Saccharomyces cerevisiae S288C: one gene and its partners. The gene in region 4 interacts genetically with the main gene of each other region. Each region holds a gene or a part of one and is shown on either strand. Other genes may lie near its edges.

Region 1 (9,386 bases), on a different chromosome or scaffold from region 4:
AGTAGCGACGTTTTACAAGATTGTAAAAAAAGATTGTCCTTCAACTCCTCTAATGGCCTAACGAATAACGACCCGGAGTATGAAGACCGCGAACCTAGGGAAATGTCCAAGAAGTTTCTTAACAGGAGGTCATTTTCCCCCGGAAGCATTAGCATGGGAATGAAAGTACTACCTTCGACGGCACTGAAATATTCGCTAAACAAAGTAAAAAACAGCACTGATATTGCATCGACCATCATACCGAGACCTAGTATGTCCAACGGTCGTCCATCTTCGGGATTGAGGAGAAGTTCTAGTAAAAGCTTTTCATCTACCCCCGTAAATATCATTGAGCCATCGGAGGAAAATGGTAGACAATCCAGCATTAGAATAAAGGGAGTCGAATACGCGAGCGAAAAGAAAGATGCAGAATTCCATGCAATATTCAAGGACTCTGGTGTCAGCCCCAATGAAAGGTTGATTTTAGACCATAGTTGTGCTTTGTCAAGAGATATCCTTTTGCAAGGCAGAATGTATATTTCTGATCAACATATTGGATTTTATTCGAACATCCTTGGTTGGGTAAGTACCGTTTTTATACCGTTCAAGACAATCGTTCAAATAGAGAAAAGGGCCACAGCAGGAATATTCCCTAATGGGATCGTTATAGACACTTTACACACAAAATACACGTTTGCCTCTTTCACTTCAAGAGATGCTACATATGATTTAATTACTGAAGTATGGAATCAAATAATTTTGGGAAAGAGGTTTCGTAGCAACAGTAATAACACTAATAGCAGCTCCAATTCTATCAGTGATGATGAAAATGACGATTACGATGATGATTACGATGATTATGGAGATGATGATGACGATCTTTACGATAATAGCAATAACATATCTGATTCTACCGACATGACATCAAGCGTCAGCATAGGAAAGCCGGAAGATTTACCCATGCCTCTACAAACAGACACCCCTTATGGAACAGGAATTCCACCACTAGGTCCAAAAATTCACTCACCCACAGAAACAGTATACAAACCAGCGCCCAATGAAAAATTAGTTAACGAATCAACAATACACGCTTCGTTAGGGCGGGTTGTCAATATATTATTCGGGAAAGATGTCAGTTATATTATGGCCATTTTAAAAGCGCAAAAGAATAGTGATATTTCGCCAATCCCTGTTCTCGTTGATTCACCCACGGTTTCTGAAGGTAAAAAGAGAGATTATTCCTACGTAAAAACAACACCAGGTGCCATTGGACCCGGTAAAACTAAATGCATGATAACTGAAACCATTCAACACTTTAACTTAGAGGAGTATGTTCAAGTCTTGCAAACAACAAAAACTCCGGATGTTCCTTCTGGAAATTCATTTTATGTGAGAACAGTTTATCTTTTATCATGGGCAAACAACAATGAAACAAAACTAAAACTGTATGTCTCTGTTGAATGGACAGGTAAAAGCTTGATCAAAAGTCCTATTGAAAAGGGTACATTTGATGGTGTAACGGATGCAACAAAGATATTGGTGGAGGAGCTTGGTAATATTTTAACAAGATCTGCTACCAAAAGGAAAAGGTCTTCGAAGGAGAACACTGTTACAGTATCAACTTTACCGAAAATGGAACCTAGCTCACATGCACCTACCGAGCCTGATATTCAAAAGGATAAGGATGACTCTATTATAAGGGAAAATGAGAATATACCAGCTCCATTAGGGACCGTGGTCCAATTGCTATTTGGATCGAATACAGAGTATATGCAGAAAGTTATCACTAGAGATAAGAATAATGTCAATGTGGAAACGATACCAAAATTCACGCCTTCGTTGGTTGAAGGAGGTTCAAGACACTATGAGTACACGAAGAAATTGAACAATTCTATCGGACCTAAGCAAACAAAATGTTTACTAACCGAGTCTATTGAACACATGGATATCAATAACTATGTTTTGGTGACACAAACAACTAAAACTCCAGACGTCCCCTCTGGTAGCAATTTTGCAGTAGAAAGTAAAATCTTTCTATTCTGGGGGCAGCATGACACCACGAATATGACCGTTATAACAAAAATCAACTGGACAAGTAAATCATTTTTGAAAGGTGCAATTGAGAAAGGATCTGTTGAGGGTCAGAAGGTTTCTGTCGATTACATGCTATCCGAGTTAAGAGACATTATTAGCAGGGCAAAAAGCAAAAAACCGGTGAAGAAAGTAATGAAGAGTCATGATAAACATAGGCCTTTCCATAGTAAGGTTGAACAGAAAAGTTCCGAAAGCCGTAAGAGCGATGATAATAAAGACATTTTAACTCATATTTTGGATTTCGTTCAGAATAATTTTAGTTCAGAAATTTTTATGAACAAATTGCTGAGTCCTCAAAAACTATTCTTGATCTTGGGGTTGACCATTATGCTTTTCTGGTCTCCTCGGCTTCACGTGTTTCAAGAAAAAAATAATCTTCAAATCATCAAGCCAGGAAGGCTGCTGATTGATGGTCAAGAATATAATTACGTGCCCAGTTTCGGCACACTGTATAACTCATATGAAAACGCCATATCATCTAAGAAGAAGAGAGAAAATGTAAATTACGCAAGGGATAAGAGTCCTATTGTAGGAAGGGAAAGCGATATTTGGGATTGGATCAGTAACAGAGGGAGTGCAATATCACCTCGAGGTCGTGCTATGTTGAGAAACGATGACGAACACAAATTGCAGCAATTATCAGAAAGTATCAAAATAACAGAAATGCAACTAAATCATATGAAAACTATGTTGGACAACATTGAGAGGGACGCAAATGATCTATCTTAATAGCATTTTATATATTCTGTTTGTATTATTTAGTAATTGTATCTAGTACATATCCTGTAGCGGTTGGCCTGATTCCTTTTAAGTTAGATGACAGGCACACTTTGCATTATCACATCAGACGGAATTGTTCTGCCTAATGGCGGCTATTCTATTTCTGCTTCATAAATGCAAAGACAGAGTATAAGAATAATTTTAAATTAAAAGCAATGGTCTTATCCTTGCCATAAACAGAAGACAACTTGCAAGTATGAACTATTTGGAAACACAGTTAAATAAAAAGCAAAAACAGATACAGGAATACGAAAGTATGAATGGCAACCTGATAAAGATGTTTGAGCAATTGTCTAAAGAAAAGAAAAAGTATGTAGCTATTTTTTCCAGTCGGCAAAAATCGGTATAACAAACAAAAAATATTTAGTTTCTGTTATTAACAGAACTTGTCAAAGTGATGAGACACCAAAAAAAATTTCCTCGACGTACATTAAAGAGTTAAAGGAGTACAACGAATTGAGAGATGCCGGTTTAAGGTTGGCCCAAATAATTGCTGATGAAAAGCAATGCAAAATTAAGGATGTTTTTGAAGAGATCGGTTATTCAATGAAGGACTAATGGGCTTTTAGGGACAGTTCTATTCTTCCAACGTGCGAAGCGTTCCAATGAAACTCTGCTGCGCGCTGAAAACTATATAAAAAAAAAAAAAGATAAAATTACAAAGAAGTAATGAACTTAAATGCTATTATACAGTTACTAATTAAGCTGCGTAGTGTGAAATATATTGATAGTTGTAGTTTTGAGGTTTTATTACCCTCTGTTATATAATAGGTTTTCGCTATTTTATTGCCGAAAATCAAGACGGAGCGTAAGCCTCTTCGGGCAATACCTTCGACTATTCCAACAATAAAATTTAAAAAAAGAGATTAATCACATAGTAACAAGAAATAAACGAAAAACATATCATAGGAGATCAATGAGCCAACTTCACATAAACTAACAGTGAAAAGTCTATAACAATATTAATTTTACACAATTAAATCTACACTATAACTGGCACTGTTAATAATCGGTAATCTGCTAAGTAACTTTTTTTTCTCATTCACAAAGCATCGTTTTCCTCTTCCCCACGTCCATTATCACTTTTCTCCATATCACCCTTCATACACATTAAAAAAACAGCATATCTGAGGAATTAATATTTTAGCACTTTGAAAAATGCGTCTACTTCGAAGAAACATGTTAGTATTGACACTGCTCGTTTGTGTGTTTTCATCCATCATTTCATGCTCAATCCCATTGTCGTCTCGCACCTCAAGGCGGCAGATAGTGGAAGATGAAGTTGCCTCCACTAAAAAGCTCAATTTCAACTATGGTGTGGATAAAAATATAAACTCGCCCATTCCTGCTCCAAGAACCACTGAAGGTTTACCAAATATGAAACTCAGCTCATATCCAACTCCTAACTTATTGAATACTGCTGATAATCGACGTGCTAACAAAAAAGGACGTAGGGCTGCCAATTCTATAAGTGTACCCTATTTGGAGAATCGTTCCTTGAACGAACTGAGTTTATCAGATATACTAATCGCAGCCGACGTTGAGGGTGGACTTCATGCTGTAGATAGAAGAAATGGTCATATCATATGGTCAATCGAACCAGAAAATTTTCAACCTCTGATAGAAATACAAGAACCTTCGAGGTTAGAAACATATGAAACGTTGATTATAGAACCTTTCGGTGATGGGAACATTTACTACTTTAACGCCCATCAAGGGTTACAAAAACTGCCTTTATCCATACGACAACTTGTATCAACTTCCCCGCTGCACTTGAAAACAAATATTGTGGTTAATGACTCTGGAAAAATTGTTGAAGATGAAAAGGTCTACACTGGATCGATGAGAACTATAATGTATACTATAAACATGTTGAATGGTGAAATTATATCAGCGTTCGGACCTGGTTCAAAAAACGGGTATTTCGGGAGCCAGAGTGTGGATTGCTCACCTGAGGAGAAGATAAAACTTCAGGAATGTGAAAATATGATTGTAATAGGCAAAACTATTTTTGAGCTGGGAATTCACTCTTATGATGGAGCAAGCTACAATGTCACTTACTCTACATGGCAGCAAAATGTTTTAGATGTTCCCCTAGCGCTTCAGAATACATTTTCAAAGGACGGCATGTGCATAGCGCCTTTCCGTGATAAATCATTGCTAGCAAGCGATTTAGATTTTAGAATTGCTAGATGGGTTTCTCCGACATTCCCCGGAATTATTGTTGGGCTTTTCGATGTGTTTAATGATCTCCGCACCAATGAAAATATACTGGTACCGCATCCCTTTAATCCTGGTGATCATGAAAGTATATCGAGTAACAAAGTTTACTTGGATCAGACTTCGAACCTCTCCTGGTTTGCATTATCTAGTCAGAATTTTCCATCTTTAGTCGAATCAGCTCCCATATCAAGATACGCTTCCAGTGACCGTTGGAGGGTGTCTTCAATTTTTGAAGATGAGACTTTATTCAAGAACGCAATCATGGGTGTTCATCAGATATATAATAATGAATATGATCACCTTTATGAAAACTATGAAAAAACGAATAGTTTGGACACTACGCACAAATATCCACCTCTGATGATTGATTCGTCCGTTGATACAACCGATTTACATCAGAATAACGAGATGAATTCACTAAAGGAATACATGTCACCAGAAGACCTTGAGGCATATAGAAAAAAGATACACGAGCAAATATCGAGAGAATTAGATGAAAAGAACCAAAATTCTTTGCTACTGAAGTTTGGAAGTCTAGTATATCGAATTATAGAGACTGGAGTATTTCTGTTGTTATTTCTCATTTTTTGTGCAATACTACAAAGATTCAAAATTTTGCCGCCACTATATGTATTATTATCCAAAATTGGATTTATGCCTGAAAAGGAAATCCCCATAGTTGAGTCGAAATCGCTAAATTGTCCCTCTTCATCGGAAAATGTAACCAAGCCATTCGATATGAAATCAGGGAAGCAAGTTGTTTTTGAAGGTGCTGTGAACGATGGAAGTCTAAAATCTGAAAAAGATAACGATGATGCTGATGAAGATGATGAAAAATCACTAGATTTAACCACAGAAAAGAAGAAGAGGAAAAGAGGTTCGAGAGGAGGCAAAAAGGGCCGAAAATCACGCATTGCAAATATACCAAACTTTGAGCAATCTTTAAAAAATTTGGTAGTATCCGAAAAAATTTTAGGTTACGGTTCATCAGGAACAGTAGTTTTTCAGGGAAGTTTTCAAGGAAGACCTGTTGCGGTAAAGAGAATGTTAATTGATTTTTGTGACATAGCTTTAATGGAAATAAAACTTTTGACTGAAAGCGATGATCACCCTAACGTCATACGATACTACTGTTCAGAAACAACAGACAGATTTTTGTATATTGCTTTAGAGCTCTGCAATTTGAACCTTCAAGATTTGGTGGAGTCTAAGAATGTATCAGATGAAAACCTGAAATTACAGAAAGAGTATAATCCAATTTCGTTATTGAGACAAATAGCGTCCGGGGTAGCACATTTACATTCTTTAAAGATTATCCATCGAGATTTAAAGCCTCAAAATATTCTCGTTTCTACTTCGAGTAGGTTTACTGCCGATCAGCAAACAGGAGCAGAAAATCTTCGAATTTTGATATCAGACTTTGGTCTTTGCAAAAAACTAGACTCTGGTCAGTCTTCATTTAGAACAAATTTGAATAACCCTTCTGGCACAAGTGGTTGGAGGGCCCCAGAGCTGCTTGAAGAATCAAACAATTTGCAGTGCCAAGTCGAAACGGAACACTCTTCTAGTAGGCATACAGTAGTTTCATCTGATTCTTTTTATGATCCGTTCACCAAGAGGAGGCTAACAAGATCTATTGATATTTTTTCTATGGGATGTGTATTCTATTATATCCTATCCAAAGGGAAGCATCCATTTGGAGATAAATATTCACGTGAAAGCAATATCATAAGAGGAATATTCAGTCTTGATGAAATGAAATGTCTACATGATAGATCCTTAATTGCAGAAGCTACAGATCTGATCTCCCAAATGATTGATCACGATCCGTTAAAAAGACCTACTGCTATGAAAGTTCTAAGGCATCCGTTGTTTTGGCCAAAGTCGAAAAAATTGGAGTTCCTTTTAAAAGTTAGTGATAGGCTTGAAATTGAAAACAGAGACCCTCCAAGTGCCCTGTTAATGAAATTTGACGCCGGTTCTGACTTTGTAATACCCAGTGGAGATTGGACTGTCAAGTTTGATAAAACATTCATGGACAACCTTGAAAGGTACAGAAAATACCATTCATCAAAGTTAATGGATCTATTAAGAGCACTTAGGAATAAATATCATCATTTTATGGATTTACCTGAAGATATAGCAGAACTAATGGGGCCGGTACCCGATGGATTTTACGATTACTTCACCAAGCGTTTTCCAAACCTATTAATAGGTGTTTATATGATTGTCAAGGAAAATTTAAGTGACGATCAAATTTTACGTGAATTTTTGTATTCATAACATGTTCATGCCCCTCTGCTTCTTCTTGGTTGATTATTGCATTAATGTTACTTTGATCATTAGTAGTAACCATCCATAATTTTTACGCCCTTGCATAAATGAAAAAAAGTTGTACTTCTTCATGAACCTATACTACTTTTCTCATCCCTACATAAACTACCCGACAGACATTTAATTTTATAAATACATATCTCATAAACATCGAACATCGACATACTACTCCAGTTATTCAACACTGACTTTTTTGGTGGAAAGCTTTCGTTCTGCAATTCTTATGCAAATAAAGGTAAACACACATGCAAAAGCGTAGACTTCATCAAACCAAGAATCTATGACAATGTTTGGGACGGTAAACTTTCCACCCAATAGCTCCTTTAATCTTTGTGATACTTCAAAAGGGAGATGGGACCTAACCATTAGCGTTGTAGCCAAAACGTAGACGCCAGTCAACTCTGACACCACCAGATTTTTTATCAAAGATATTCCTTTTTGTTCCTGAGAATAGTTTCTCTTTTTTCCCTTATAGGAAGAGTTATTGGTGTACTCTGGAAGTACATTAGCAGTGTCATCATTCTGCATGGCGAAAAGTGCAAGAATCTGGAACTTTATGGGCAAAAGGGTCACAACGTAGGAGATGGTGGTATTGACAGCAGAAAGACAGCAAAGAAAGAGAGAAATTGACAAAAATAACGATATCTGTTTTGTTAACGAATCGAGATCGTGCTGGTAATTGAACCTGAAAAACGAAAAATCCAAAATATTTGCTATCGTAATGGCTAAAGGATCGGATGCTGCATTTTCACTAAAATTTTCATAATCGTAGTCATCTGGATATTTGAGCGAGTGGTATATGATATAGGGGATTCTTTTCAGGAAAGTTATTATTAGTTTATGAAGACAGTATATGATAAACCCGACTTCAAAAGCTTTCTTAAAAGTGCGTACCTGAGGGGACTGTTGTAATAATGCTTCCAATTTCCCAAGCTCCAGTTGATACCAGGCGATTTTTTCCATCAACTCTGCTTTAAAAGTTGAGTTTTCTCCGACCTCTTCTTCTAAACTTCTTAATATTTGTACATTTTGTTCAATGTTGTGTTCATAATCTTGGATTTTTTCCTCTATATAGGCGTCTGTTGTCCATAAGAGAGATTTACTGTTATTGTTGCTGTTGTTGATGTTTCTAAAACTGGGGTCTGACATTGGTGTATTACGAAACTTGTGCCAGATGACTAAAAAGTTGTAGTATAAACTAGAAACAGTGGCTAACCCAGATAGGGAAGCCATGACTGTGACGCCTCCGATGGACAATCTAGTTAGAATATTTTTTGTGTACTGGAACGGTCCAATATTTATGTAACTTAACAGCGCAATAAGTGTGGACAAGATTATGCATGTCACTATTATCAACCTATCGATATCGAACTTGTCATTGTAGAATTTATTCAGTAACGATATTATAATGAAAAAGGGCTGAAATAAAATTAGTATGAAGGATAGCATGATTGCAGTCAGAGGCCACACCCAAGTCGTTATGAAAGTAACTTCCTTGTCCATTCCAGCAACCTTAATCTGCCATAGAATAATCTCTATGGTTACTGTATACGTCATCATTGCTAATGAAAAAAGGACTCGCAGTGATTGCAGTACCTTATGTGAGGGTAAAGAATACTCTGTGTAGAATTTATTTATGAAATTACCCATACTAGACACATCCTCATTCGAGCCAACTTCCATTTTGCTTGCCAACGGAATGACATTTTTCTTCGAGGAAGTTGATATAATGTCAAACAAAGACCCTACTTTAAACCAGAGCCTTTCATAGGAGCATTTGTAAGCAAATGCTCCGGATACGGAAAGCACTATAAATACGATAAGTGCCTCCATCCCGTCCACCACTTAGTCTACACTCAATAGTCCTTTCTAGTGCAGGTCCTGGAGGCAACCGCCAGAGTTGAGATCTTTTCCTTTTCTTTCCCTGCTGGTCAATTTTTATTGTTCAGGACTCGGTCATCGCAGATATCGCAATT
Region 2 (4,379 bases), on a different chromosome or scaffold from region 4:
GTTGAATCCAGTTGGAGGTACATAGACACGCAGGGACAGATTCATGGTCCATTTACTACCCAAATGATGTCACAATGGTACATAGGTGGCTATTTTGCTTCAACCCTTCAGATTTCAAGATTGGGAAGCACTCCAGAAACGCTAGGAATAAACGATATTTTCATCACACTTGGTGAGTTAATGACTAAACTCGAGAAGTATGATACGGATCCATTCACTACTTTTGACAAACTTCACGTTCAAACAACCAGCTCTGATTCTATCAACTTGAATCTAGCTCCTTACGCAAGCGGTGTTGCCGCTACTGGCACTATTAAAGCTACTGAAAACGATATTTTCAAGCCATTGACACATGACAATATCTGGGATATGGATGGAGGTACCACCTCCAAGGGAGTCGATATTAAATTAGCCTCAGCAACCACCATTAGTCAAACAGATGAATCTCACAAGCAAGAATACAAATCGACCACTATGCTGGAAAAAGGGAAGAAGGAAAAATCCGAATCTGTAGCAAAAGCGTTATTGGATGAACAAGAGAAACGGAACAGAGAACTCAAAAGGAAGGAAGAAGCTCGCTTATCGAAGAAACAAAAGCAAAAAGAGGATGATTTATTGAAGAAACAAAAGGAACAAAAGGAACAAAAGGAAAAAGAAGCTTTGGAAGCAGAAAAGCAAAAAAAATCAGAAAAGACAAAAAAGGACACACAAACACAAACAGAAGGCTTTAAGACATCAAAAGATTTGCCTTCATTAAATTCCTCAAGCGCGAATCCGGCACCATGGGCCTCAAAAGTCAAAGTTAACAATGCAATCGAAACTTCAATTAAAAATGGTGTAAGTAGCACTGGAAAGAAGAAAGGAGAACCCTTAGGTCTACAACAGAGGAACAGCAAAGAAGAAAAGCAAAAGGAGGAACTAAAATCCGTGCTTAACTGGGCTAACAAGTCCAGCCTACCATCGAATCAAACTATTGATATTAAATCTCAGTTTCAAAAAAGCCCAAAAGGGATGAAAGAGTCGTCTCCGTTAAAGGAGTTGGAAGATCCAAATTTCATAGAAGAGCAGAAAAAACTATGGGAAAAGGTTCAGAGTTCTTCCAAACAAGTAAAGTCCACATCCTCTGCATCTACTACCACATCTTCTTGGACTACGGTGACTTCTAAAGGGAAAGCACCTATAGGAACCGTTGTCTCCCCATATTCAAAAACCAATACCAGTTTAAATTCTTCATTAACGGCAAAAACTAGCACAACTTCTACTACCACTACCTTTGCTAGCATGAACAATGTTTCTCCCCGGCAAGAATTTATCAAATGGTGTAAATCACAGATGAAATTAAATTCTGGAATAACCAATAACAATGTCTTAGAACTATTATTGAGTTTACCTACGGGGCCAGAATCTAAAGAATTGATTCAAGAAACAATTTATGCCAATAGTGACGTTATGGATGGTAGAAGATTTGCCACTGAATTTATTAAAAGACGTGTTGCGTGCGAAAAACAAGGTGATGATCCACTAAGTTGGAATGAAGCGCTAGCTCTATCAGGCAATGATGACGACGGCTGGGAATTCCAAGTAGTGAGCAAGAAGAAGGGTAGAAAACACTGAAAGGAAAAGCTTCATAATTTTTTCTTTTCACTGCATATTTCTTTATCATTTATTGTTATTGTATATACTTTATAACTATTTTTTAACGCAGATAATGACAAATTCTATACATATTTTTAAAAAAACACTGAACGAGCGAATACATATCTTTGCACACAGTAGGCACTAATTGACTAATCTTCCATCATTATTTATTTTCAGCTCCCACTCTTTAATACACACTTCTTTCCGTTTCAAGATTGATTGATAACGTCTAGAGAGAGCTTGATTAAAGCAAATTTCTTTACAAACCATAACGAACAATTGAACCCAGCCCGGTTGCAATCTTTCAGCTTCTTGTAAAGTATCTTTAAATTCCAATTCAATTAATTTAACTTCAGTTTCAAATCTCTTCCAGTAATCCTCCCCAATAGAGCCATTTTTATATAGAAGGTTTATCTGAGGAGCCAACTCTTTTAACTTTAATGATCGTCTAACAGATTCTGCTCCTCTGTTCAATAAAGCGGCCTTCAACACCTTCTCGTGAATTTTTTCATTTTCACTCATTTCCTTTATTTGGAAATACAGATCATGGGCATCGTTTTCGTCAAATATGGATGGTTGCTCACTAATTTTTTTGGCCTGCTTCTTTCTGTAGCTTGAAGCAAACATCACAAGGGACACCACCAGAATAAAGACATATATGAGTGGGGTATAAACGGAGATTGATTTCGTCTCCACAATTGGCTCTTCCGTTTCAAAAAACGTCCCGTTGTTGGAGAATTTTGTTTCATTAAATTCGGACATATTGGCAAACTCAAGTAGTTGTGCGTACCTCTTTCCTGTACTTGAATTCGTTTAAATAAGCCATTTCATTAATATTTCATCAATTTTTTCACATATTATTTCAACTTTTAGACGTGTTCCTAAAACTTTTGACGTTTTTTGGCGGGTAATAAGATGCGTCTACCCATTTTAAGGAACGCCCTCGTAACATACAGAACGAAGAGTGGCAAATAATAGGACAGTACTCTGAAGAAAAATTTCCCTATACTACTGATATCGATATACATTTAAGTGAAGTATGCTTATCAGATTTAGATCAAAAAACGGTACACACAGGGTTTCTTGTCAAGAAAACGACCTTTTCGGAACGGTCATTGAAAAGTTGGTGGGTAATCTGGACCCCAATGCCGATGTCGACACATTTACTGTTTGTGAGAAGCCCGGTCAAGGTATTCATGCTGTTTCTGAACTAGCTGATCGAACAGTGATGGATCTAGGACTAAAGCACGGTGACATGCTGATCCTTAACTATTCGGACAAGCCCGCTAATGAGAAAGATGGTGTCAATGTTGAAATCGGATCCGTAGGTATTGACAGCAAGGGAATTCGTCAACACAGGTACGGTCCACTAAGGATCAAAGAACTCGCTGTAGATGAGGAACTAGAGAAAGAGGACGGATTAATTCCTCGTCAAAAATCAAAACTATGCAAGCACGGTGATAGAGGTATGTGTGAATACTGCTCGCCTTTACCTCCTTGGGACAAAGAATATCATGAGAAGAATAAGATCAAACATATATCGTTTCATTCATATCTTAAAAAGCTAAATGAAAATGCTAATAAGAAGGAGAACGGCAGCTCTTATATTTCCCCTCTTTCAGAACCTGATTTTAGAATCAATAAGCGTTGCCATAATGGCCATGAACCATGGCCTCGGGGGATATGTTCTAAATGTCAACCATCGGCAATTACATTACAACAGCAAGAATTTAGAATGGTTGACCACGTTGAATTTCAGAAGAGTGAAATAATTAATGAATTTATTCAGGCGTGGAGGTACACGGGTATGCAAAGATTTGGCTATATGTACGGATCTTATTCTAAGTATGATAACACACCTTTAGGTATAAAGGCCGTCGTTGAGGCGATATACGAGCCCCCTCAGCATGATGAGCAAGACGGTTTAACCATGGACGTAGAACAGGTCAAGAATGAAATGCTACAGATTGATAGACAGGCTCAAGAAATGGGGCTTTCGCGAATTGGCCTAATATTTACAGATTTATCTGACGCGGGAGCTGGGGATGGGTCTGTTTTTTGCAAAAGACATAAGGATTCGTTTTTTCTTTCATCATTAGAAGTTATTATGGCTGCTAGGCATCAAACAAGGCATCCTAATGTAAGCAAGTATAGCGAACAAGGTTTTTTTTCTTCCAAGTTTGTAACTTGCGTTATATCAGGTAATTTGGAAGGTGAAATTGATATTTCGAGCTACCAAGTATCCACAGAAGCTGAAGCATTGGTTACTGCAGATATGATAAGTGGGTCCACATTTCCTTCAATGGCATATATTAATGACACTACAGATGAAAGATATGTACCTGAGATATTTTACATGAAGTCGAATGAATATGGTATAACAGTGAAGGAAAATGCGAAGCCTGCATTTCCGGTAGACTATCTTTTAGTGACGCTGACTCATGGGTTCCCGAATACCGATACGGAAACCAACTCGAAATTCGTTAGTTCCACCGGATTTCCATGGAGCAATCGACAAGCTATGGGGCAATCTCAAGATTATCAAGAATTAAAAAAGTATTTATTCAATGTGGCTTCAAGTGGAGATTTCAATCTTTTGCATGAAAAAATCTCGAACTTTCATTTACTATTATACATAAATTCTCTGCAGATACTCTCTCCAGACGAATGGAAGTTACTAATAGAATCTGCTGTGAAAAATGAATGGGAAGAATCTCTACTAAAACTTGTCTCATCGGCTG
Region 3 (7,579 bases), on a different chromosome or scaffold from region 4:
TAATGATTTTTCGTGGGGTATTATGAAAGCAATCATGATTGAGCAAAATTAAAACTTTCCATTTGTACATATATATATATATATATATATATATCTGTGTGTGTATAATAAGCAATTGGCCATCATTTGGCTAAAAAGTTCAAGATTTCAGGTAGTATATAAGAGAATAACTTCCCTCTTTTGCTAAAGAAGGATATGTTCTATTTCAGCCTTTTTGCATCATAAGAGCATAAGCGACAGAAAACACTTCGAGATGAGCTTGAGAACTCCATTTCAATTAACTTGATAAATACATGTAGATTCATATCATCACTGTTCTTTTCAGATACTAGTTTCAAAACTTCCTTGACAGAACCATTTCATGTTCAATAATGAAAATTACTTTCACATGTTTTAGTGGAAAAATACTGAACAATGAAATTTCAATATCGCATATAATAATTTTTGTTATCAAATATATATTTTTCGGAAGTCATATACATTAAATAATTAAAACATTATTTTTAAAAATTAAAAAAATATATTTTAGCAAATAGTTTTTACTTTTTTTTAAATGCAAAATAAGTTCACGTGATATTATTAATAATATTTTACCCAAAAATATGAGGGCATCGGAAAATTTTTCAGTAATGAATATTAATGTTCATCTGAAGATAGACGAAATAGGAACAACAAACAGCTTATAAGCACCCAATAAGTGCGTTATGACTTCTGAAAATCCGGATGTACTTTTATCTAGGGTGATAAATGTGGTGAGAGCAGCATCATCGTTAGCCAGTCAAGATGTAGACTTTTACAAGAATTTAGACAGGGGATTTAGTAAAGATCTGAAATCAAAAGCAGACAAACTTGCGGATATGGCGAATGAAATAATCCTCTCTATTGATGAGCATCATGAATCATTTGAACTTAAAGAAGAGGACATTTCTGACTTGTGGAACAACTTTGGAAACATCATGGATAATTTGTTAGAAATGTCAGACCATTCGCTGGATAAGCTGAATTGTGCAATAAACTCAAAGTCAAGAGGTTCCGATCTTCAGTATTTAGGCGAATTTTCAGGAAAGAATTTTTCTCCCACCAAAAGAGTCGAAAAACCTCAGTTGAAATTTAAAAGTCCAATTGATAACAGCGAAAGTCATCCGTTCATACCTTTATTGAAGGAAAAACCAAATGCTTTGAAGCCACTCTCTGAGAGTTTGAGGTTGGTTGATGATGATGAAAATAACCCCAGTCACTACCCCCATCCTTATGAATATGAGATTGATCATCAAGAGTATAGTCCAGAAATTCTCCAAATTAGAGAGGAGATTCCCTCAAAATCCTGGGATGATTCGGTACCAATTTGGGTAGATACAAGTACAGAACTCGAATCAATGTTGGAGGACTTGAAAAATACGAAAGAGATTGCCGTTGATCTTGAGCATCACGATTATAGGTCATACTATGGTATTGTTTGCCTCATGCAAATTAGTACAAGGGAAAGGGATTATTTAGTTGATACTCTAAAACTTCGCGAAAATTTACATATTCTGAACGAAGTGTTTACGAACCCTTCAATTGTGAAAGTTTTTCACGGTGCATTCATGGATATTATTTGGCTTCAGCGAGATTTAGGTTTGTATGTCGTTGGTCTCTTCGATACTTACCATGCGTCTAAAGCAATCGGTCTTCCTAGACATAGTTTGGCCTATCTTTTGGAGAATTTTGCCAATTTTAAAACTTCAAAGAAATATCAGTTGGCTGACTGGCGTATAAGACCGCTTTCAAAACCCATGACGGCATATGCTAGAGCAGATACTCACTTTTTACTAAATATATATGACCAGTTGAGAAACAAACTTATCGAGTCTAATAAGTTAGCAGGTGTTCTTTATGAATCAAGAAATGTCGCAAAAAGAAGGTTTGAATATTCAAAGTACAGACCACTGACACCTTCTTCAGAAGTTTATTCTCCAATCGAAAAAGAGAGTCCTTGGAAAATATTGATGTATCAGTACAACATACCACCTGAGAGGGAAGTATTAGTAAGAGAGCTATACCAATGGAGAGATCTTATTGCAAGAAGAGACGATGAATCGCCACGATTTGTTATGCCAAACCAGTTATTGGCTGCACTTGTCGCATATACACCTACTGATGTCATAGGTGTTGTTTCTTTGACCAATGGCGTAACTGAACATGTCCGCCAGAATGCAAAACTATTAGCTAATTTGATAAGAGATGCATTACGAAACATCAAGAACACCAATGAGGAAGCTACTCCCATTCCATCTTCCGAGACCAAAGCAGACGGAATATTGTTGGAGACTATAAGTGTTCCTCAAATCCGTGATGTTATGGAAAGGTTTTCGGTGTTGTGCAACAGCAATATTTCCAAGAGCCGAGCCAAGCCTGTCACTAATTCTTCTATTCTGTTGGGTAAGATTTTACCACGTGAGGAGCATGATATTGCATATAGCAAAGACGGCTTGCCAAATAAAGTGAAGACGGAAGATATCAGGATCCGAGCACAAAATTTCAAGTCTGCCTTAGCAAACTTGGAGGATATCATATTCGAAATAGAGAAACCTCTCGTTGTTCCTGTCAAGCTAGAGGAGATTAAGACAGTAGACCCTGCGAGCGCACCTAATCACTCGCCTGAGATTGATAATCTTGATGATCTTGTTGTTTTAAAGAAGAAAAACATTCAAAAGAAACAACCAGCAAAGGAAAAAGGTGTAACGGAAAAAGATGCTGTGGATTATTCAAAAATTCCGAATATCTTATCTAATAAGCCTGGCCAAAATAATAGACAACAAAAGAAAAGGAGATTCGACCCATCATCTAGCGATAGTAATGGACCAAGGGCAGCTAAAAAGAGGAGGCCTGCCGCCAAAGGTAAGAATCTGTCATTTAAAAGGTGATTATGTAAAACAAGCGTATTTTTTTATTTATAAATTATGGTAATTTTCATTTAAGACCTCTAAATTCATCTAATCGAATATCTGTGTCATGGAGTTATGGCTCCCCCATGCACACCATTTTCTCTTTTTTTGTTTCTGTGTTTCCCTTCATCTCCTTTATTATGAAAAGTACAAGTTTTATATAATTTCAACGTCGGAGGTTATCCGGAAATCTATAGTTGAATTTTTGCAGGATTATACTTCGCTCGAATATTGTGCGTGTTAAATACTCAGCGAGAACAATACTTCCAAGTTAGAAAAGGGATTTGCTCATGTTAAAGCAATGGCACTCCGAATGGACGGTGTCAGGAATTCTTTTCTTCACATCAGGCTTCGCATAGAAAATGGCCATTGGCAAAAGGTTACTGGTGAACAAACCAGCAGAAGAATCATTTTATGCTTCTCCAATGTATGATTTTTTGTATCCGTTTAGGCCAGTGGGGAACCAATGGCTGCCAGAATATATTATCTTTGTATGTGCTGTAATACTGAGGTGCACAATTGGACTTGGTCCATATTCTGGGAAAGGCAGTCCACCGCTGTACGGCGATTTTGAGGCTCAGAGACATTGGATGGAAATTACGCAACATTTACCGCTTTCTAAGTGGTACTGGTATGATTTGCAATACTGGGGATTGGACTATCCACCATTAACAGCATTTCATTCGTACCTTCTGGGCCTAATTGGATCTTTTTTCAATCCATCTTGGTTTGCACTAGAAAAGTCACGTGGCTTTGAATCCCCCGATAATGGCCTGAAAACATATATGCGTTCTACTGTCATCATTAGCGACATATTGTTTTACTTTCCTGCAGTAATATACTTTACTAAGTGGCTTGGTAGATATCGAAACCAGTCGCCCATAGGACAATCTATTGCGGCATCAGCGATTTTGTTCCAACCTTCATTAATGCTCATTGACCATGGGCACTTTCAATATAATTCAGTCATGCTTGGCCTTACTGCTTATGCCATAAATAACTTATTAGATGAGTATTATGCTATGGCGGCCGTTTGTTTTGTCCTATCCATTTGTTTTAAACAAATGGCATTGTATTATGCACCGATTTTTTTTGCTTATCTATTAAGTCGATCATTGCTGTTCCCCAAATTTAACATAGCTAGATTGACGGTTATTGCGTTTGCAACACTCGCAACTTTTGCTATAATATTTGCGCCATTATATTTCTTGGGAGGAGGATTAAAGAATATTCACCAATGTATTCACAGGATATTCCCTTTTGCCAGGGGCATCTTCGAAGACAAGGTTGCTAACTTCTGGTGCGTTACGAACGTGTTTGTAAAATACAAGGAAAGATTCACTATACAACAACTCCAGCTATATTCATTGATTGCCACCGTGATTGGTTTCTTACCAGCCATGATAATGACATTACTTCATCCCAAAAAGCATCTTCTCCCATACGTGTTAATCGCATGTTCGATGTCCTTTTTTCTTTTTAGCTTTCAAGTACATGAGAAAACTATCCTCATCCCACTTTTGCCTATTACACTACTCTACTCCTCTACTGATTGGAATGTTCTATCTCTTGTAAGTTGGATAAACAATGTGGCTTTGTTTACGCTATGGCCTTTGTTGAAAAAGGACGGTCTTCATTTACAGTATGCCGTATCTTTCTTACTAAGCAATTGGCTGATTGGAAATTTCAGTTTTATTACACCAAGGTTCTTGCCAAAATCTTTAACTCCTGGCCCTTCTATCAGCAGCATCAATAGCGACTATAGAAGAAGAAGCTTACTGCCATATAATGTGGTTTGGAAAAGTTTTATCATAGGAACGTATATTGCTATGGGCTTTTATCATTTCTTAGATCAATTTGTAGCACCTCCATCGAAATATCCAGACTTGTGGGTGTTGTTGAACTGTGCTGTTGGGTTCATTTGCTTTAGCATATTTTGGCTATGGTCTTATTACAAGATATTCACTTCCGGTAGCAAATCCATGAAGGACTTGTAGTTACATTTTAACTTATATAACTGTACAATGTCAGTCAGACGCAACTGATATAAAAGATGTGCTCTACAAGTAAAGATTATTTCAACTCTTAAAAATATTTGAAAAATGCACTATAATTTGATCTAAATAAGGTACAGATAATGGTAAGGCAAAACTACTACATTTGGCAGTGAGTATTGTTAGCTTTTCCGCTTATTTTCTCTCCTGGAGTAGCCACCGTTCGCGTCTTCCGAGCAATGGCGAATCTCGAATCTCGGAAGGGCGGCTACTGATAACAGGCACTCATATATATATTATTAGATAAGAGTTTTTTTTGACTGAGTCCTTATAACACGTAACTTATCAAGTTGCTATATTGTAAGTTCAGGTTTCCAATCTGTTCAACCACTTTATATCTTTAAACATGAAATTCTCTACCATCTTACCTATACTTTGGGCAAATTGCTGTCTTTGTATGATCATCCCTGATTTCGACGGGATAGTTCGTTTTATTGAGAATATTGATGGTACTCGCAGTGTAAGAGCAGGAGAAGGTTTGGGACAGCATGATCCTGGAAATTTTCACACTGAACATCAACATGTCGCTCATAAAACAGAGTTTCTTCCTTATCGGTATGTCATAGTCTTTAATGAAGATATTTCCCTCCAGCAGATTCAATCGCATATGCAAGTGGTACAGAAGGATCATAGTACCTCAGTAGGTAAGCTTACAGAAAATGACGCTTTTTGGAGGGTAATTTCTTCTTCAGTATCATCTAAATCTCAATTTGGAGGTATTGATAATTTTTTTGACATAAATGGTCTATTTCGAGGTTATACTGGCTATTTCACTGATGAAATCATTAAAATAATCTCCCAGGACCCAATCATAAAGTTCGTAGAGCAAGAAACTACAGTAAAAATATCTAATTCGTCATTGCAGGAAGAAGCGCCTTGGGGTTTACATAGAGTTTCGCACAGGGAGAAACCAAAATATGGACAAGATTTGGAATATTTATATGAAGATGCCGCCGGAAAAGGTGTCACATCATATGTACTCGACACAGGAATTGATACCGAGCACGAGGACTTTGAAGGGCGTGCTGAGTGGGGAGCCGTTATACCAGCAAACGATGAAGCTTCTGATTTGAATGGTCATGGAACTCACTGTGCGGGGATTATCGGATCGAAGCACTTTGGTGTAGCCAAAAATACAAAAATAGTAGCTGTCAAAGTTCTTCGTTCTAATGGGGAAGGGACGGTTTCAGATGTTATTAAAGGTATAGAGTATGTTACTAAGGAGCATATAGAATCGTCGAAGAAAAAGAATAAAGAATTCAAAGGATCGACTGCCAATCTTTCTTTGGGAAGTAGCAAATCGCTAGCTATGGAAATGGCTGTAAATGCAGCTGTAGATAGCGGTGTCCATTTTGCTATTGCGGCAGGAAATGAGGATGAAGATGCTTGTCTCAGTTCACCAGCAGGAGCTGAAAAAAGTATTACGGTCGGTGCTTCGACATTTAGTGATGATAGAGCATTCTTTTCGAACTGGGGCACATGTGTTGATGTGTTTGCTCCCGGTATAAATATTATGTCCACCTATATTGGTTCAAGGAATGCAACTTTAAGTTTATCAGGTACTTCCATGGCGTCCCCGCACGTTGCTGGTATTTTAAGTTACTTTTTATCATTACAGCCTGCACCAGACAGTGAATTTTTCAACGACGCTCCCTCACCTCAAGAATTGAAAGAAAAAGTCCTAAAATTTAGTACACAGGGAGTACTGGGTGATATCGGTGATGATACTCCTAACAAATTAATATATAATGGGGGAGGTAAGAAATTGGATGGTTTTTGGTAGCTTTGATTTTGAATTTAGGAGCACCCAGGAGATTTTATTTTATTCTTTTCATACAGGTCAGCATAAGCCTAAGAAAGACGTTTGAAATCGCTAATCGGCTTTTTGTTCCTACGAGTAGGTTAAATTCTTTCAATAATATACATAATAAATTAGTAGTAAAGATAAACTTTTGTTCGCGATGCAGTTCTTTTGGTTGTGAATAGTTTTTTTACGAATTTATACTAGTCACTGCTAGATAAGGGTTAAGGAGGTAAATAAAATACGACAACCACTTTAAATAGGTTTCAAAACTATCCTTCAACAGATAAAAGGGTTTACCGTCAGAATCATTGAAATCTTTTAAAGGGTGTGAAACTATTTTTATCTTCCTCTGTCACCGTCCAAAGCAACCGAGCAATGCAGTGTTTTTCCTTTTAAAAACTACCTCAGATCATAGGTACAAGTTACAACTGAATGTCTACAATTGTGATCTCGGCTCGATAATGTATTCTATGTATGAGAGGCATCTTCTTGTTTTGATTATTTCTATCATTTACTAAGGAAAAAAAAAAAAATATACATGCGGTGCGATGCGATGATCTTCGGGAAGAAAAATTTTCAAGATGTCAATTAAACAATAGTATAATTATCGTGATGAGCAAGAAGGGAAGCAATCCAATAATAAAAACCAACTATTGTAAGCGCTCCCGATATACCTAACATGCGTCAAAAGAGGGCTAAGTCATATAGGAAACAACTTCTTGTTTACAGTCACACATTTAAGTTCCGTGAGCCATATCAAGTTTTGGTTGATAATCAGCTTGTTTTAGAATGTA
Region 4 (8,356 bases):
GTCCATAGCGCTAAAATTATCATTACTCGGTTTAAAGCTATTTTGTTGTAAAATCTTTATATCATGTATGTGTTCCCGACGTTCACAATCAACATTAACTGTAGGACCTCGGTTGTTATTCGAATGTGTTTGAACTTTTTCTATCAGCTGGTTTTGTAAATGCAGTAGGGACTCCACTTCATCTATGGTTCTTGCACTTAGGATGTCAAATTTAGAAGAATCAGAGTTAAGAAACTCTTCCTCTTCTTCCTTGGAAGATTTTCTATTGAGAGATGATATTGATACAACGTATTTGACAAACGCATCCATTTCAGGTTTCTGGTTTGCTGGTTTAATAGCACTCATAAATTTTTTATCATTACTGCTATCATGGCGATTATGGTTTTTCATCCACTTAGCTAAAAGACCAATAGCGCTGCGATGTAACACAGACATTGAAGATGTATTAGATCTACTATTACTGTTGCTATTGTTATCTAGAGATGATGTCGTCGATGTACCTTGAAGCGTTCCGCTTTGTTCATTTAAATCTTCAGGAATATATAAGGAATTCAGAATAAATTCAACTTTTTTAGCCGGTGTTGGAGGCATTATTTTATCGACTGCATATGATGACGGGTAGTCTACGCCTTTCATTAGTGTGGATACTAGAGTGACTTTTGACAAGTGGCTGATCTTTTGTTTACTATCTGACATGTCCTCGCTTTCATTATCAACTGAAGGTTCTTTCGCTATTCGGTGCTTCGAGTAAACATTTGATGTATTATCGGGAAATAAAAGCATAGAAGGGCTTCTCTGGTTTTTGGAAGAATTTGAAGACTGTAGCTTCTCCGGCAGTCTAAATACATCAGAAGTTTTATATAATGATAAAACGCTTTGGTTACGAAAATCAGGACTGGCAAAACTTTGCCTGGCGTAAATGCTCAGTCGGCTTCCTCTTTTGTGTAGGCTTTCTAGTTGCGTGAAATCCTTTAACGAATAATGCAGCCATGCATCAAAGTCTAATTTATCAGGTTCATTTAGTTCAATATTCTCCCAAACCAACTTAGAACAATGCACCCAGTTTTTTTTCAGATTGATTATACAGCTGGAAATTATTTTTGGGTACTGTTCAATGTGTTTGTCGTTTAGAAACTCGATCAACCGAAGTCTTAATGTTATGTTCGGTAAAAAATCTTGCACAAAATAATTCAGTATGGAATGCCTCAACAACACAAACGTCCTCACGAGGGCAACTTCACCAATTCGCCTTCTCTTAGCTTTTGCAGCATTTGTTGTGATCTCCCTAATACACCATCGAAATCTATAGATGAGTAAGTCGTGTAAGTCTTGAGGCGTTATAAAATTCCTATAAATAAGGAAAAAATCTGCAGATGCGTTGTAGTCTACACCTTCCAAAGGGGAAGAAAGGTGTACAATTAACGCGGGCAGGTCTGCACTATTCACTGGTTTGGATACACAATCGCTTTCATAGCTAATAACATTTGAGGATGGAGTCGGGTAGTAATCTTTCTGGCTAAATATTTCCATGGTTCAGGGTAGCGAATCTTTGAATGGCTAGAGGCTATGTAAAGCAAACAAAAAGGTTCGCGTAAATCAACGAGCGAATAACACGAGTACGGTTGGGGTGGGCTAAAGGGTTCAAGAAATTATCAGTTTCTGTTTACAGTTTTTTTTTCATTGTTGATAAAAAGATCAAGAATTTCATTATTCGCGAAAATCAAAATGCAGAAAGGAAAAAATAGAAGGGTAATAAAACAGCATCGGATCGCAAAGATGAGTAAGGAGAACAGCCTGGTTAACAATTAAAGAGTGTTTATCGAAATTCATTATATAGTGGTTTATATAGACCACTTCTTCTGCTGGTTGATATAGAAATTTTATTTAATTCTTGTTTTTTACTTATGTACTTACTACGATGATCTTAATTCATGCTTCTTGCTTGTCGGCAATGTCCCAAGTGGAAAACCAGTTTAAGTAGCGGAAGTTACTACTTGGTCCCTCCATACCAAATGATATTGGGGAGAAGTACCAGAAGCAACCAATTACAAGTGCCATGAATCCGGCGTATAGGACGAACCGCATGATACGGCCGCACTTAGATCTGGACCATTTTTGCAAACCGGCGTCGAAACAGTACGCCAAAATGATCAGTGCAAAATACAAGGCAGGCAAGTAATGATGAACGTAGGTGACTCTAGACATGATAACGAATGGCATGTAGTGTAGGCCCCAAGCTAGTAGTGGGTAGAACCCGCCCATTAAGAAAACGTTCCAGTTAGATGGATTTCTTAGGTCCACATATTGTCTTTGCCATCTGATCAGTAAGATAACGACCGTGGCCATGAATGCGAGGACGGCAACACTAGAAGCCCACGTGGAAGCTGGGGTACCCAATAGGAAGTATTTTGGATTATCATCACCCCAGCCACATAGTCTCAAACCCACATTCAAAGTTGGCCATTGCCATGCTGAGGAAGCTAAGTAATCAAATTTGTCTGGATCTGGCACCAAAGCGTTATTAGTGGCCATCATGGCTAGATTTAAATGAATGAAGTCTTTTAAGAAGTTGGTCTTTGGGTATTGAAAATCTTCGGGTCTTGGTGGCAACCTTTCATTTTCGTGGGTCTCGATGTTCCACCAGGTCCTCTTGTCCCTCTTGAATGGGTTTTTCATGCAGACAACCTCTTGTTGTCTGAAACCCCATTCGGGCAAACTGTTACCGGTTTGAGCCAAGTAACAGCCCATCTCCAAGTTCTTGATACGGAAAGAGGTGGTCAATGTGTGCAACTTCTCAGGGTCTTCATCTCCTCTTTGGTCCATGATCTCAATAACCCAATTGTCTTTGTTGTCACCAACAACATTGTCACCGTAACCAGAAACCTCCCATTGTGTCTTTGACACTGGTGCAGCAACTGGGTGGGTGTGCAAGTTTCTGCCCGTGCTTTTGTGTACCAATCTATAGGAGGTACCTGGCTTCAAATACTCGATGTCAGTTTCGTTTTCTGACCATGATGGTAAGCCTCTTTCTCTGTTGAAAAACCATTCGTTGTTAGCATCTTTGTAACCATAACAGGTTACTTGTTGTTGGTTGGACCCATCTGGATAAGTTTGTATATGTGAGTGCAATAGAGATCCTCCAAGAGCTTGGTTTTTGATGGAAACAACGGAGGAACCTAGAGCAATGTCACGGGGGCCTTGTCCGACGTCAGAACCCACTAATCTTGCTTGGAAAAGAGATGGCATGTTAGCATCACCTGTACCAGAATGCGATAATAGGTCAAAATGTATTTTGAAGCACAATAGGAAAATGCAGAAGGGGACGATAATAAGACCAAATATTCTTGCCAACCAGTGGTTAATATAGGTTTTCCATGACATGGATTTATCTGCCAAAAAGGTCCATAAGTCAATCACAGTATAGATACCGACCATAGTGATGATAAATAGACCCACCATTTTGACGGAAATAGTGCAACCCAAAGAAATACCAGTGATCAACAGCCATTTCCACCACTTTCTAGAGAACGGCTTGGACCTCTGGTTGTGGAACATAACAAAACTAAAGAACGATGCGACAGTGAAGAAAAGTAGCATGGAGTCCAAAAGAATGAACCTGCCCAAAGTACTATACGAGTTTTCAAACAAAACCAACACGGTCATCAGCCAAACTGTTGGTAAAGAAAATCCAATAGCTTTGGCAGTGAAGTAGGCCAATGGCACACAGAGCGCGGAAAATGACGCGTTGAACAGTCTCATTTTAACATAATCCAAATAGTCTGGGTAAATTTCCCCAGAAGGGAAGTCCCAAGAACCGTTGTAGCCTGCCAAATAACCAGACAACCCGACCAGCATTTTTCCTAGGGGAGGATGGACATCGTGGTAAAATTCGTGTCTCAAGTAATAAGAACCAAATTTACCAAAGTGCGCCTCATCCCAAACAACATGGTTGTTGATGCCGATTTTGTACATCCTGGTAAACAACGCCAATGCAGTAAAGATCACCGGCATTACAACGGATTCCAGGCGTAACAGTGAGCTTTGTGCAGCGGGCTTTTCCTTCGAGAAATCTTCCGCGTCTCTCTCATCAGCGCTCGAAAGTTCCTCACTGACGCTGATGGAAGACGATTCTCTTTGTCTCAGTGTATTCTCTTGCTTAATGTGGGCGGCATTGTTTTTGCTGTACCCGGTAGACGAAGACGAGGACATGATTGCTGGACCACGGTTCGAAACAGAATGACAGTAGCGATGTGGACTAAGCCGGTTCTCCTTGGTAATGTTGTTAGTCTCGAGAAATGACCTTTTTTTTACCCTCAAAAAGAATGCAACACTATTAATAAACAGTACACGAAACGGATCTTTCCGTAAGTTCTTTCGTTCTTTTTTTTCGTATTCTTTTCTTATGTTTTTTTTTTTCAGGGCGACGTGTCCAATAATATGTATGTTTGTCGCTATGTACGAGATATTATTGCTAAGTGACAGTAAATCGTATCACGACTGTAAATGATGGCGTTTCGGTATGTACAGTATCTATCTACCTGATAATAAAGTCAATTATGAAGACGAATACGTAGCTTATGATGCTGCCCAGAGCTAGTCCTGTAGAAACGAAAATATTAGTGAATCCACCGGCCGCTTCCTTCTCGTCGTCGTTGTCCAGTTGCTCTGGCACCTTCATGAAACTCATAGAGATGACGTGCCCGTTGGTTACGCCGAAAAGGAACTGCAGTAGCATGTAACACAAGTCAACGATTACGGAGCCATTGTGCTCTTCATCGCCGCTTGAAGAGGAGGTGATGGCTGTGAACATCAAGAACAGTGGTATTGCGGCCACCCGCAACAATGAGTAGATGAAGGTTTTGCGTGGCGTAAATTTCTGGTCACGGAACATGGGCCAGTCGGCAATGACTCTTCCGTAAAGGTCGCCTAGGTTCCACAGCGTGAATATGAGAGGTATGTACTGTGCGTTGCTTAAAGGAAGCCCTGTCACGTAGGTGGCAGACGCAAATACAGGAAAAACAAGAGTTACGACAAACGTGGTGAATATGGAAAGAACCAGGTACTTTAGTTTGGCAAATAAGACCTCGAAAGGCACTTTTAGTTGGAGTTCCTCACCTTCGTCGTTGTCGTCGCGAGTGCCGTTGGTGCGGCGGTGGTCTTCATCCTCCATTTGGTCAATGCGGCCAACAATACGGATTTCCTCCTCATTGGAGCGCAGAGACCCTAACAACACATCAGTGATATGTCCGTCTTCCACATTCCAATTCTCGTTCACTTTCCGACTGATTTTGCTCACGCTGAACATGACCACACAAATGGTGACCACGAGTGTTGTGGTAAAAAAGTATAGAAGAATCCCGCCCGTAGTAGACACAGAAGAGTTCTCGATGAAAGCTAGGGCAAAAAGCACTAGGGAGGGCAGGACACCAGCAACGGCTTGCCCCACCATGACACCTTGACTGTACTCGGAACCGAAGACGTTGGCTATGGCCATGATACCATTCTGTGTCATGGCTGTCCCCATGGAACTGATCACTACAAGCATCATTATAAACATGAAATTGAACCATTTAGGTAAAAGGAAATGCAAAATTGTAAAGAAGCACATGACAGTAAAGACAATAATCTCCCACACAAGCCCGTTTATGACCCTTCTCGAGTATTTGTACTGTCTTTTGGCCAAGTAGATGTTGAACAGCATTGACGATATGGTAGAAAAGGACATCATAGAGCTTGTGAAGATCTTTGCCCAAATGGAGGTGTCTTTGAAAATATCGTGCTTAAAATATTGCGAGGCACTGAGGATACAGTTCCACGGCCATAAAAGACCTATTCCTATGGCGAAAAATGTAATATATGAAAGATTTTTCAACTTTTTTCTTAACGGCAATGTATCCAGTGGTTCGGTTGACACAGATTGCTCTCTTTCAGAATAATTATCGCCTTCTTCATCTGAGTGCTCGTTGTTCTCTGATTCATGTTCTTCTCCAGAGCGTGATATCTCCTCTGAATGCGTATCGGCCAGTGCAGGCTCTGGCACCGCAAGGATTGGCTTCTTGATGGTATCAGTGTCCGCACTAGTACTCATTTTTGCAATCTGGTATGCTTTCTTGCGTTTGATGATAAGCTGTCGCCGTAACGTAAATCATTCATCCTTTCCTATGATTTTTTAAGTCAATTTTTTTTTCTTTTTCGGGAAATTAATTCTGTTTTTGGCATTAATAACAACAAGAAGAATTAAGGATTCGTTATAGAATACAAGATTCTTGGTTTGGTTAAATAATTTTGGCTCTCTTAAATATTATAAAAAGATACTTAAGTAAGAAAGAAACAGGACGAAAAAGATACGCAAAAGAGAGAGAGAGAGAGAGAGAAAAAAAAGATGAGAAAAAAAAGTATAACGTGAAGGCTTTATGGGAAGTGCGGTGAGATTGGGATCGTTTCAATTTTATAATGAGGTAGTGTACAGAGAGGAGGGAGGGAGTGGGATGAAAGTGTGCGGTTTATACTTTCTTACTGCCTGTGTTTGTCTTCATAAATTCAAATCTTGCTAACAATGGTATATGGTCACTGGGGAATTTGTCGTTGGGGAACCCGATAAACTTACTCACGTATTCAGGGTCCACTTCACCCAATAGCCCACGCACCCTTAGAGCATGTGTAGAAAACCATATATAGTCGATAACATCTGTGAATGACGGTGTGAAATTGGTGAATGGTAGTTCTCCGATACAATTATAACTTGATTTGAGAGCCAAGTTATGTGAGAAATTTTTCTCCGACATGTAACCGAAATCTCTACCATTTCCCTCTTGATGTATTTGGACACGGCCTGTATTTATCAATTCGTATACGGCGGAGTTGATGTATGAATTGAAGTCACCACAAATGAGCACAGGAAATTTCTTAATGTCCTGTCTAAAATTGTGCGATGTCTCCTCCTTTAGCAGCGTTTCCAGATGATCTAACAGGACACCTACTTGGAATGTCTTGACATCATTAAATTTTGGATCCCAGTGCAAATGCGTGGTGACCGCCCATATGGTGTCGCCACTAGGAATGTGTTGTAGCTTTAAGAACAGTGCAACGTTGTCTTTGTTCATTGCACGGTTTAAATAATCTTCAGTTCTTTGGAACTTCTTGTGTTTCATCCAAGCACCGCTGAAATCCATGGCGTCTTTGGTGATCAACTTGAATTGGTCCCTTTTGAAAAAAATGCAACACCCGTCCACTTTCTTGGAGTCCTTGGAATGCATGGTCTTGGCTCTTGCCTTTGCATGGAAGATGCCTGTATAACCGTGCTTGTCCAATAGGGGCACCCAATACTCTTCAAAAGTCTTAGACTCCACTTCTTGTAAACACAACAGATCACTGTCGTACGAGAGAATCTGCTCCTTTAATTTATTGCGCCTGTAATCCCAACTTAACGCCCACGACGGTGTGTAACGGTACATTTTTGGGGTGGCATAGTGTTGACATAAGGTGTTGTAGGATAAGACGGTGAACGTCCTCTTGGCTAAATCGGTGGCCAGATGCTCAGTGGATTGCTGCAAAGAATCGTACTCCCTCTGTGGTTCCCCATCGGTATTGATTTCGATGAACCTACGTTCATGCGGTAAGGGAATCTCTGGTCTGTTGTCCCTTAGGTAGAAAATCAATCCCGTGACAGATTTTTCTGTAAGGATCTTTAAAAACTGTTTTTCTAAGGGGTTTCCTTCTACACCAAGAAACTGAAGGTTACACAGGTTCCCAAACTCCCATGGTAATGTGGTGACCATGTTATCAAAAAAGTAGAAGTATTTCAATTGGAAACATGAGCCTAGTTCCGCTGGTAGAGATGTTAACCTATTATGCGACAGGTCCAAAACGCGTAGGTTGCTTAGGTTCTTGATCTCCGCTGGCAGTTCCGTGAGGCTATTGCCATTCAAATATAGTCTCGTTAGAAAATCGTACTTGAAGATGTTGGCGCTGATATTGAAGATTTGCAAGTTGGACAAATCTAGCGCGTGCCATAATTGGTCGTCGTATTTCGAGTCCTTGGGCATGACCATTCTGTTTTCAATGTCGTCATCTTCGTCGATGCTGTACTGAGACAGTTTCTTGTGTTGTAAGAGCGCCTGGTTGGCTTCGTCCTTGCCATTAGCAAACAGCTCTATCTTGGGAGTCAATGGTGTAGAAACTGCACTGTTAGTTGCCGTGCCTGAGGGAGTGCTATCTCCCGTAGGTTGTTGTTTCTTTGCTGTCTTGCTGTCGGTGAGAGTGTCGGCCATTTCCATCAAGGCTTGCTTTGTGCAGTCTACCAGTGATTTGGAGGCTTCTGCAATGTGAGATTGCTGGAAATCGGTGGGCTGCAAAG

What was found.
Region 1: mutations in PMT2 (region 4) and IRE1 together harm fitness more than expected from each alone (negative genetic interaction), as found in Saccharomyces cerevisiae (4 studies listed by BioGRID, with this or other methods).
Region 2: mutations in PMT2 (region 4) and SEC66 together harm fitness more than expected from each alone (negative genetic interaction), as found in Saccharomyces cerevisiae (4 studies listed by BioGRID).
Region 3: mutations in PMT2 (region 4) and ALG6 together harm fitness more than expected from each alone (negative genetic interaction), as found in Saccharomyces cerevisiae (5 studies listed by BioGRID, with this or other methods).

Annotation. Positions count from the first base shown.
Region 1 is NC_001140.6:256,217-265,602, reverse strand, and holds IRE1 (bifunctional endoribonuclease/protein kinase IRE1), read left to right. Parts: upstream 1-4,011; coding exon 4,012-7,359; downstream 7,360-9,386. Other genes in the region: LAM4 (Lam4p), read left to right, coding at 1-2,802; SAE3 (Sae3p), read left to right, coding at 3,050-3,162, 3,249-3,411; YHR078W (uncharacterized protein), read right to left, coding at 7,585-9,243. UniProt on the Saccharomyces cerevisiae protein: Senses unfolded proteins in the lumen of the endoplasmic reticulum via its N-terminal domain which leads to enzyme auto-activation.
Region 2 is NC_001134.8:576,385-580,763, reverse strand, and holds SEC66 (Sec63 complex subunit SEC66), read right to left. Parts: upstream 2,401-4,379; coding exon 1,780-2,400; downstream 1-1,779. Other genes in the region: SMY2 (Smy2p), read left to right, coding at 1-1,614; NPL4 (nuclear protein localization protein 4), read left to right, coding at 2,678-4,379. UniProt on the Saccharomyces cerevisiae protein: Acts as a component of the Sec62/63 complex which is involved in SRP-independent post-translational translocation across the endoplasmic reticulum (ER) and functions together with the Sec61 complex and KAR2 in a channel-forming translocon complex.
Region 3 is NC_001147.6:326,128-333,706, forward strand, and holds ALG6 (dolichyl-P-Glc:Man(9)GlcNAc(2)-PP-dolichol alpha-1,3-glucosyltransferase), read left to right. Parts: upstream 1-3,289; coding exon 3,290-4,924; downstream 4,925-7,579. Other genes in the region: PHO80 (Pho80p), read left to right, coding at 1-3; exosome nuclease subunit RRP6, read left to right, coding at 705-2,906; putative subtilisin-like protease YSP3, read left to right, coding at 5,328-6,764; rRNA-binding ribosome biosynthesis protein UTP23, read left to right, coding at 7,465-7,579. UniProt on the Saccharomyces cerevisiae protein: Dolichyl pyrophosphate Man9GlcNAc2 alpha-1,3-glucosyltransferase that operates in the biosynthetic pathway of dolichol-linked oligosaccharides, the glycan precursors employed in protein asparagine (N)-glycosylation.
Region 4 is NC_001133.9:104,343-112,698, forward strand, and holds PMT2 (dolichyl-phosphate-mannose-protein mannosyltransferase PMT2), read right to left. Parts: upstream 4,210-8,356; coding exon 1,930-4,209; downstream 1-1,929. Other genes in the region: mitotic regulator LTE1, read right to left, coding at 1-1,530; nucleoside transmembrane transporter FUN26, read right to left, coding at 4,535-6,088; CCR4-NOT core exoribonuclease subunit CCR4, read right to left, coding at 6,504-8,356.